Linked DNA regions of Danio rerio. Each later gene encodes a partner of the first gene's protein in a complex. Links are inferred from orthologs where the notes say so. Each region holds a gene or a part of one and is shown in the gene's direction. Other genes may lie near its edges.

The links.
Region 2: taf1b (region 1) and polr2l share a complex: the UniProt entries of both Homo sapiens proteins name them as parts of the pol I pre-initiation complex. The link is inferred for Danio rerio from reciprocal best matches to the Homo sapiens genes TAF1B and POLR2L.
Region 3: taf1b (region 1) and polr1h share a complex: the UniProt entries of both Homo sapiens proteins name them as parts of the pol I pre-initiation complex. The link is inferred for Danio rerio from reciprocal best matches to the Homo sapiens genes TAF1B and POLR1H.

Annotation. Positions count from the first base shown.
Region 1 is NC_133195.1:32,279,026-32,282,683, reverse strand, and holds part of taf1b (TATA box-binding protein-associated factor RNA polymerase I subunit B), read left to right. Parts: intron 1-3,055; coding exon 3,056-3,155; intron 3,156-3,234; coding exon 3,235-3,382; intron 3,383-3,522; coding exon 3,523-3,658. UniProt on the Homo sapiens protein: Component of RNA polymerase I core factor complex that acts as a GTF2B/TFIIB-like factor and plays a key role in multiple steps during transcription initiation such as pre-initiation complex (PIC) assembly and postpolymerase recruitment events in polymerase I (Pol I) transcription.
Region 2 is NC_133182.1:13,341,518-13,345,275, reverse strand, and holds the start of polr2l (DNA-directed RNA polymerases I, II, and III subunit RPABC5), read left to right. Parts: upstream 1-916; 5' UTR 917-990; intron 991-1,284; 5' UTR 1,285-1,301; coding exon 1,302-1,396; intron 1,397-3,758. UniProt on the Homo sapiens protein: DNA-dependent RNA polymerase catalyzes the transcription of DNA into RNA using the four ribonucleoside triphosphates as substrates.
Region 3 is NC_133194.1:29,753,815-29,757,572, reverse strand, and holds the start of polr1h (DNA-directed RNA polymerase I subunit RPA12), read left to right. Parts: upstream 1-968; 5' UTR 969-1,009; exon of another isoform or gene 1,010-1,134; intron 1,135-1,487; 5' UTR 1,488-1,489; coding exon 1,490-1,607; intron 1,608-3,758. UniProt on the Homo sapiens protein: Core component of RNA polymerase I (Pol I), a DNA-dependent RNA polymerase which synthesizes ribosomal RNA precursors using the four ribonucleoside triphosphates as substrates. Can mediate Pol I proofreading of the nascent RNA transcript.

The DNA of each region.
Region 1 (3,658 bases):
CATCCAATACTAACCTACATAGAGAGGAAGGAGAGTTCTTCTTATCAAAGAGCAGCGCTACTATTATCCTGAAATGCAAAGTTTATGTCAGGAAATCAGTGGAATTTTAGTTCATTGCTTGTGATACTTCACACTTGTGATACTTTACAAATTCACGTACGTAAACAAATCCTGAACAAAGAATGGCAGTACCTACAGGCATTATAATAAATGGTGGTCGGGTTGCAGACGAAGGATGAAAGTGAAGAGTGGAGTATGTTGTGGATGAAAGTGTAGAGGGTTGTCGGTAAAATGAGGTGCCTGATCAGATTTCAAAGGTGCCGTGTTACGGCACAATTTAAGCCCTGTATATGGACCTTAAAAGGTCATGATCCTCATTCATTGAGTAATTGTGTTATATTTTTATTTCACATTCTTCAGTAAATATAACCATTCAAAATAAATTTCCAGAAGAATGTGAAGTAAAAAATATAACACAATTACTTAATGAATGTCGTTCATGACCCTTTGACTTATTGTGTTTATAAGATTAACGCACCAAAACTTACCAACACAGAAGCACAGTGCATACTTCAGTATTGAACTTAATAGCTACCTTTGGACTTTGGAGCAATGCAAAATGACATTGACACTTCTAAAACATAACAGACCCAGTGACGTTTTATTTATTTATTTGCAACCACAGTTTTTTGTTTTCATGTAGCATCCTGGTTAAAAGATGATTAAGTCTTTCACTGATGGTTCACGCAAGGGCGTAGGTTTGCGCTTGACATTGGTGGGGACTGGGGACGAGTCACCCCCCCAAGAATGAATATATACATTTTTTTTTTTTTTTAAATATATATATATATATATATATATATATATATTGCTATTTATTATTTAACTGCTATTAAAATGTATTATTAAGTAATCCTCTCTTCTTACAATTTATTAAGTTAAATGAAATAGTCATGCGTATAGCCAAGGGGGGTCAGGTAGTTTGAAAGACCAAAAGTTGTATTATTATTATTATGTTTGAATTTTTCTTATTATTCAAATGGACAGATTTTCACTCAGGAAGGTTGAATGCGCCGGCCAGTTTGTTATTTGCCCATAGGCTTCAGTTTTTAATTTAAATCAAATTTTAACAGATTTCCCAAAGAAAATTATGATAAAAAATTGTATTTTAAATATAAGTATATTTGCATATTTGAAGAGTTTAGATGCAAAAACCTCTAAATGCCATTTAATATTTACTTCTAAAATTATAATTTTTCTCCAACTCCTGTGTGTGGATTTTACTTTTATAGTGACAAATACGTTCTTTTCATTGCCTTTAAAGTAAAATAACTCAACATAAATATACAAGGCTGAGAAAAATGCTCATTTTACATGGCATTTAGAGGTTTTGGCATCTGTACTGTACTTCATTACTTTATTCTAAGAATGTAAAGTCCTAATTTCTAGTTCAAAGTATTTTTATTATTTATAAAACTGTAATAAAACGTACAGTTTAAATGTGTGAATAAAGCAATTTGACAAAATGGTAGGAAATAGTTTTTGGTACATCAAAAAGTGTAGTTGTAATAACTATCCAACAAGATTATCCAGCAAAAATTAGTTTTTAATATGTCACTAAAATGTCATATTTATACCTCAATTAAACAGAAAATCAGGTGAATAACTGCAAAAAGGTTCAGTTTTTCAGAAAACAAATAACCCTTTTCAATAAACTGGCTACAGGCCTGAAAGTGTTATGTTAAAATAATGTTTATTAACTGATAAAGTGAGAGTTTAATAAAGACTTTCGTTCATTTTTCGTACAAATTAAACATGTCTCATAGTATTATTAAAAGATGGAGCACAGGCTGTAGTTTTTCTGACAAATTGTTTCAACCAAAATTGGAGATGTTACTCTAAGAGATTAGGAGAACTGGCAGGGTCATACGTTTACATGTAGGTGTTTATTCTGCAGTTAGTTTTCAGGGAATATTGTTTACAGACTAACGTTAGTCTGTTTTAACGTTAGATTGAACGTAAAAGCGGTGAAAACACTACCATAACGGCATTATCATGATGGACTCATTCAGAAGCGAACTTGAGTTTATGTGACTTACACTTTTCGTTGGAAAAAGCTCTTTATATCCACCTTTTCTTGCTACCTCCATCCTCTCTTGTGCGAGGCACACACCTCACACATCGGGAAATTCCCCCCCGCGCAGTTGTTTTGGCGCAGTTTGTATCTGAAACCATGATCTGAAAGCAGCCACTCACATGACAGCAGGGAAAGGCACAGCCAATCACAATGTTCATATGTGTTTGGGGGCGGTGCGACTTGAGGAGAGAACGTGATTTAACCCTTTCGGCATGTCTAGGTTTATACTGACAGCGCGATGTTTTTAAGTGAATTAAATTATTGGTGGGGACATTTCAGTAGTTTGTGGATATTGGTGAAGACACGTCCACCGTCCACCCTAAATCTACGCCCCTGGGTTCACGATTCATTTATTGGCCCAATTCCATAGAACCATTACACAACATTGCATCATGAATGCATCACTGTAAGAACTATAGAGAAAACAAAAAAACAAACTATCAAACACAAATGAAACACGAAAATTAAAATACTAAGCCAACATCAAAAATCAAACATTAATCTTAAACAAATTAAATAAATCAAATTACCTTATTTTCCCTTAAGAAAGAGCTAAAACTCATAAATGGGGAATCCGTGAATTAGCCGTTTACCCGTGCCTTTTTGCCGTGTTTCACCTAGAGTTCCATGCCTGGCGTGCTTTGCTTCATGTGCATTACTATACATGCCATATATTCGGTAGGCTCCGTAATCTCTGTGTCATAATTAGTCCCCAACCATAACTTAATTCATTCAACAAAAATCAAACCATGTACAAAATAAAACCAAATAACAAAAAATGTAAATCATAAACAATAATGACACATTTCACGTTTCATTACAGTTCATGTTAGATGTATTATCAGTAATGACCTAATGTTTAATAAATAATAAATAACAAGAAAGACATCTGATTTTGCAATCATCTGTTTCTTGCAGGATGGTCGCAGAAGGCCATATTCCTTACTTGCACCTTCACGAAACATTTCCAGCAGAGATGAGAATGTTCGGGAAAGATGTCCAAATCTTTCGGGTTCTGGTGAGGAACATATAAACAGTTCTCACTTCACCACTCATGAATCAATGTGTTTCATTCTATACCAACTTCTCTTCTTTAGTTCTTTCCATCTTATGCGTTCATCAAAAAAGAAGCTTTAGTTCTGGCAAAGATCATGAAGTTGCCGTCCTTCCCAACAATTTCTCAGGATTGTCTTTTCCACCCAGTTCCACTCACTGTCCGCTATCTGCTAGAGGCAAACCTTCCAGGTGAGTGTTTTTTTTTTCACTGTAGTGGAGACGTTGTGGTAAATTATGAAAATGGATTTCAAACAAATCTATCCAACCCATATAATCCTCTTTTTTTTGTGTGTGTTTGATACACTCCTGACTCTGCATGTTCATTTTAGATGCTCTTCATGTTTGGGTCCAGAAGGTTATAACTGGAGCTGGTATGGATAGCGATTCCTTTCTGACGTTTGACCCCACTGATAAGAAGCCTCATCTCTTGAGTTATGATGTTCAAGCTGTAGCTGTCATTATTGT
Region 2 (3,758 bases), on another chromosome or scaffold:
ATCAGCTGAGGTGAAGTGACGTGACCAGCAAAAGACACTCAAGTGGCCACTCCCTTAATTATGCAGACTTAATTAAACCTAATAAATGCTAAACGGATGAGTAATAAAAAAATTCAGCCCCTCACAGTTGTCATGAAGAGTAGTATTAGCTATAAGCACCAAAACCATCTATTGTACCAGGCTTTAAACATGTTTTTATCAGCTGTAAAATTGGCCAGTTTAGCATTGCAGTCAGAGAACATGTGGAGTTGCTGGAGCAAGCCCCCAGAGGAGAGTCTATGTATTTTGTATTGGCTTCCCAATGGAGAGCCGGAGGTTGCTGCTTGGTTTTTACAGCGTACATAAGACGCCCTTATTCTGAAGTGTTGTAAAAGCTAAAATATAAGATGGTTTTGGGATATACATAATAATCATATTGCTATTAGCATTATATGTGCATAATATGTGTTATACATGTAGAGCTTTGCATGGTCAAGCACCCCAATATATTCAAGATCTATGGAACTCTCTCCCTATAGCACTGAGAACTCTGGGATCAGTTGATCTTTTTAAAAAGCATTTAAAGACGCATTGTTTTGGTCAAGCATTTAATTCATAGTATTAGTGTTTCTGTATTTGGATTTTTTACTTGTTTTAATGTGTTTTAACATGTTTTCTTTTATTGATATGTGTTCTTTTACTTGTTTTCTCTAATTGTAAAGCTATTTGTTACTCAACGTCTAGGAAAGGTGCTACATAAATAAATATTTTCTTGCTTACTTACTTTTACTTTTTAAAGATTATACCTCACACATTTTGAAGGAGTTTTCTCAACACCAGCCCGCCACTAAAACAAAAGAAGAAGAAAGTTTTCGTATGTTGCTCATTTCGCTTCACGGAACGTTTCCTATAACCTTGTTTTCACCCGAGCGTGTTAGAAAGACGCAACACGGAAGTCTATCTGTTATAAGCCGCGCAAGAGGAACGTGTGTAGCGTGCGAGATTGTTTTGGTAATGTTTTCTAATTTGCTCGCTTCTTTAGTCAAAATGAGAGGGTGTAATATTTGGGGTTTAGTTTTGAGTTCGCATATAAGGAAATAATCTCGAGCTGAACCGCACTGTCACGTATTCAGTGTTACTGTATGTTGCTGTAGACTGCTTCAGTGTTACATTCTTGTGTACATTTATAGCTCAACATCTATTAAGTTACTGAGTTTTGTGTTACTTGTATTCGTTATTACGCAGTCTGAATTGCACAAACTTGTGTGTTATTAAATAAACCTCTACATTTTTTTTTCAATTCAGGCAACTCGTCCTTCATCATGATCATCCCTGTTCGCTGCTTCACTTGTGGGAAAATTGTTGGGAACAAATGGGAGGCGTATTTGGGTCTCCTTCAAGCGGAGTATACAGAAGGGTACGTTTATGAAACTAAAATGTGTCCTAAATTCGTTTGTTTATTTATTTATTTATTTGTTTGTTTGGCTAAGGAGTAAAGCACTCCTTACTAGTCCTCTTTACTAACTTTAGTCAAAATATTGTGTTTGGGGTGCTCATGCGGACCGGTTGACTGGCAGCACGAATTTTGCCAGATTAATATGATTAATGTTATTATACAGATTACTATTATTATTAACAAAATAAAGCCAGCATTGGCCTTACATACAAGCATCAAACCAAACTGAATTTAAACAGATTTATTAAAAACCTGAAAAACGACTCTAAGTTAAAGATTAATTGTGATTAGCCACATCCAAAATAAAAGTTTGTTTTGACATAAGCAATACTTGTGCATTATATATATTTATATAATTATTGTGTATGTGAAATACACTCATGCATAAAGGTATAGATTTTGCATAGATATTTAAAATTTATTATTTGCATCATATATATTTTATATGTAAATATAAATAATTATTTCCTTAAATGTATGCATCTTTATGTTTATATGTCCATAATAAGCATACACAATACACACACGTATTATGTAAAAAAAAAAAAAACATTTTTTTATGCGATTAATCACGATTAATTTTCCCCCAGCACTATGTGAAATACATCTTATAATTGAAAAACACCTGCAGCTAAAACAAACATTTTTAAGGAAATCTTTTATACATCAGCTATGACTATATTGAACAAATGACCATGAAGTAGTTTATATGTTGTTCTGTGACACTGTGAATCTGTTTGTGGTTTTAGAAACAGGGTTGTGTGTTGGTAATCCATGGTGTAGGAAGCCATATGATGTTTAGTAACATTTTGTGAGGCCAAATATGAATTTCCACATGTGTGGACAATAAAGACTGCTCATCTTTCTAATTAGAATTCTAATCTTTGGTCATACAGGCACATAGAAAAGCACCTTGTTATTTAAGTAATTCCCACAGCACTAAATTTCATTTAAAAAAAAAGTGCTGCTAGTTAATTATTATGGCTCAGATCATTATTTTGTCTGATTTTTTTCTTTTGTGGCAAGTTGCCATGTTATAAGTAAGATAATGTACTTACAATTGGCTATGCAAAAAAGCCATTCAGTCTTATAGGGCCATGAAACCTCCTTGTTTCAGAGGGTGTTTTCACACCTCTACTTTGGAAAAAGTCAGGAAAGTGGGCGTGTCCAGCTCTGTTTAGGAGGGAGTGTCGGAGGAGCAAATTAAAGAGGGTTCTGTAAAAATTTGCATAAAAATGGGAGTGTCATTTTGGGCACGTGCTGATTTTCAGAGTCAAAACACACACACACACACACACACAGGGGAGAAAGACTGACTGTGTTTACGTGGACATCAGTAATCAAATTATTTGACAAATTATTAAATGGTGGACATTAACTGCAGTTTGGCTCTTTTATTCAGGGAATATCTTCATGCCCCTCGTGACAAACGAGGTATTTGATTTGAGGAACTGCTCTAAGCTTGTATCTTTCATGCAATGTTTGATACGGCACAGCAAATGAGGGAAAAAAAACCTCTGAATTTCTCAATAACTTAGATGCACTCGGCAGGTAGGGTCAGAAAGTCGTGTGTGTTACTCCTGTCACAAAATGCAGTGAAAATCCTACACGATGGTAAGTTTGATTGTGGTGCTAACATGTTCACACTCCGTGTAACAGTTAGTTCGATACAAACTAACTTTGCCATCTGAAAAAGCAAAGGGCACTGTTCGCTCCCTTATCAAATCTGTAGAGACAGGACAAACAACACCAACTAGAGCCGCGTCTTTATTAAGAGGAGACGAGCGGCAAATCCGGATCTCACCATTTCCAGATGAGAAAAGTTCTCGGGTAAAAAAAAAAAAAAGTTCCTTAGACATGCATTGTTGTCGCATGCACTGTAATCCACACGTGGTCCAGCTGTGCGCTCATACAGAGAAAATGAAAACAAAACCTTCACTGCAGCAAATTATAAAAGCAACCCTTCACGCTTGTTTTGCCAACATAATGTGGCGTCTCTGCTGTCTGAACACTGTAACATTAATGAATGTTAGTGAAGTTGCACAATAGAGTGCGCTGATTGGTTTGAACCGAATCTTACTCGTGCATTAATGCAGCACACTTATAGACGTAATAAGACACTCCCAGGTACAGACGTCCAGTCTACACGCTGGAATACACGCTAAGATCTCATGGCCGTGACGCAGCTTAAAAAAATTGTTACAAACCGGAAGTACGAATTAGCTAGAAATAACGCAAAAACAACCAATTTTCACTTTTTAGTGAGATATATGTGTCTTAATAGTGTTTTTAGCAGTGTGGGACACTTATATGACTGTCAACA
Region 3 (3,758 bases), on another chromosome or scaffold:
GGAACAGTAAAGCAGAACAATTTGGTCGAAATTAATTAAAACCAGTCAAACTATGGTATACCTTGAAAACTGCTATTGTCCCATGCTTAATATCAACGCACGTTTATATTCCCATTGTTTGCACATTTCTGCTGTGTAATATAGATTTAGAGTATATAGATACACAATACAGAGTAAAAAGGTCCAGAGCTTATCATTGTTGTGACATAAATTGTATCGCAATTCGATACAATATCGTTTATCGGCCCAGCTCTACATTAGTCCTATTTAATTGTTATTTTTTTCTGAGAAAAAAAATATGAAATATCATTAAATTTGTTTTACCATGATAAAAAGACACACACTACAATATCATTCAGTGAAACCACAGTCAGAACAAATTTCTCCTTTTGCCAGAAGTTTTTTTTTTTTAAACAAATAAATAAACAAACAAAATTAATTGATTACGGAACACAATATTTTGACATACACGTGATTTAGAAAAGCGTGTTTGCTTAAATTGTATTCGATTATATTTGTTTGTGTAATATATACACAAAAGCTAGAGACTTGTAGCTTTTCAACAACTATTAATCAAGACAATATATTAAAGAATAAAACCCCATTCTCCAGCACTACAATAGCAAAAAAAAACTTAATTCATAGATAATGTTTTATGCTAGCCCACACACCCGTAATTAATCAGTTATGTCGCTTTAAACTAACAAACGATTTAAGACGTAACACATTAGCACTTAGTTAGCTAATCCATTAGCCCAAAATAGGCAGCGTGTGGTCAAAACACTACGACATTACATTGCTGAATGTTTTATGACGGAATATAAAGTGTATTATCACTTCTCATGTCGATTGTGGTTTTTAATAGTATTAAATAATCGCAAATACCTCGAAACACTGTTTGAAGCAGTTGGATTTGACTGCACCTGCCAGATAGATTGTCTACAACGTCATCAACTCGCGACGAATCTACTGTTTTGACGAAGGACCCCAACATGTGGAACTGCCTTGAGTAAAAACCTCTCAGTTTGTAGAGAAGTTTGTATTTGGTTTGTATTTGTTACTATAACTAGCGTACATATCGCAAGATTTTTGCATCTGGTAATATTTAAGACCGCCGTGTTGGCGCTTTTATAAGTAAGTTTCTAGTTTTGATTAACGTTATATAAAAAATGTATGTACGTATGTGTGCGTGTGTAGTTTTTATAGATTATTAATTTATTACAGGAAACTTTACAATACAATATATAATACTGCAATACTATAGTAGTCTCCAATTTATTTTTTAATAAAAAAAACGATTTAAATCACTAGTTTTGGTCAAAAACCAATAAACTATGGGTAGTGTAGCAAAACATGGTGAGTTTGTAGTTCTTACGTGATTTACTAAAATTACCATGTTTTTATATTATTTGTGTTATTGTACTATGGTTAATTTTTGTTATTGGTGACTAAAGTCTAGTTACTAACATTTTTTTCTCTCCTTTAAGAAATGTCGTGTTTTAGAGGAGATGTCGACTTTTGTCCTGAATGTGGAAACATTCTTCCACTACCCAGCAGGCTGAATACTATCACCTGCCCACGATGCTCCTTCAAAATCTCTGTTCAAGGTGAGAGTAAGATTAATATGTCATAAGTAATTTATATAATATTTTATGAGATTATATATTGGCCCTGTTTCAGAAAGGAAGTTAAGTAATAGCTCAGAGTATGTTTAACCCTGAAATGAGAGAAATTTTGGGTTTTCCGTTTTAAAATGGCAGGTTTGTCAAACTCGAGAAAGCAGGGTAAGTCAAGCCTGTTTCTGAAAGAGAGGTAACTTTGACTTGGTTGTTGCTAGATCGAATATGTTTACGGCTGGAAGGTGAAGAGAATTATTTATATTATTTATTAAATCCCCCGTTTATTGTATTTTATTAACATCTACCCTCACCCCAACCCTAAACTCAACCAACAAAGTAATGTAGAAACAGTAGTTGTACTGGGTATAATTTACGTTACCTATTAAATTATACAATAAATTGTATTTTTTAACGCCTTCCCCCAGCCCAACCCTAAACCCCACCGTCACAGTATTGTACAAATATTCATTATTGTTATACAGTGTCATAACAAAATGCTGCTATATTGATGTGCAGATCGCACTTTCGGCCAGCCGTGTATCCGATCTAGACTTTACCCTTTAACTCAGAGTCAGTTACCGTGGTAACTTACTCTATGAACCTAACCTGGTCAGGAGCCGGTTTTATTCTCTAAACTCTGAGTTTCTGTTGGTCTCCTCCCCTTTTTTAAAGACAGAGTGTATTTCTCACCTTGGCCTTGGTCATTCATTGCCTACATTTCAGTCACACAAAGAACATGGTTATGAGAATGGCTTGTACTTTTTGGGAACATTACAATTAGATTCAATACCATAGTTTTAAGTTTTAGCTTTGATATTACTGCAAAAAATAAATAATTATTAGAATAATATAATTATTATTTTAAATTATTATAATAATAATTATTATTTTAAAATAAAATAATTATTTAGAACGATTATTACTAGTTTTAAAAACTATTTTTAGTACTGCTAAAGTCTAAATGTTACTTACATTCTAAATGTTATATCAACCTCTACCACTTGATCAATAATAAAGGCAGACACACAAGTGCACTTTCAAATCTTAAACTGATCAACGTGTGTAAAAGTGGGAACCTTAAATTAAACATTTCCACTGAACATTAAGCTAAGGTTATATGCATTTTTTGTCAGATTTGTTGTAGAAACTATGCAGCAGCCTATTTTATGTAATTTAATGCAATTACATTTGAAATGACTTCAAAATTGGTGACGCGGTGGCGCAGTGGGTAGCACGTTCGCCTCACAGCAAGAAGGTCACTGGTTTGAGCCTAGGCGGGGTCAGTTGGCATTACTGTGTGGAGTTTTCATGTTCTTCCTGTGTTGTGTGGGTTTCCTCCAGGTTCTTCGGTTTCCCCCGCAGTCCAAAGACATCACATGCGCTATAGGTGAATTGCGTATGCTAAATTGTCTGTAGTGTATGTGTGTGAACGAGTGTGTGTGGATGTTTTCCAGTGATGGTTCAGGCTGGAAGGGCATCTGCTGCGTAAAAAACTGCTGGATAAGTTGGTGGTTCATTCATCTGTGGTGACCGCAGTTTAAAAAAAACCAAGCTGAATAGAAATTGGGCGAGGCAGTGCTGTCGCCTCACAGCAAGAAGGTCGCTGGTTCGAACCTCGGCTCAGTTGGTGTTTCTGTGTGGAGTTTGCATGTTCTCCCTGCCTTCGCGTGGGTTTCCTCCGGGTGCTCCGGTTTCCCCCACAGTCCAAAGACATGTTGTACAGGTGAATTGGGTAGGCTAAATTGTCTGTAGTTTATGAGTGTGTGTGTGAATGTGTGTGTGGATGTTTCCCAGAGATCGGTTGTGGCTGGAAGGGCATCCGCTGCGTAAAAACTTGCTGGATAAGTTGATGGTTCATTCCGCTGTGGCGACCCCGGATTAATAAAGGGACTAAGCTGACAAGAAAATAAATTAATGAATGAAAAGAAATTGAACGACTTCAATGACTTCAAAATTATGGCCAATTCCCCACTTTTTCAAGGTAAAAGTGTATAAACATCACGCATTACTTGTTCTTTTATTACACTTAAATATTTAAATACTTTAAATGTTTTAGATTTAAGCATACACATTAACTTGTGCAGCTATCTTTTTTTCACGCTAACTGTCTCTGTTTCACTAATGCAGTTGTGTTGCTTT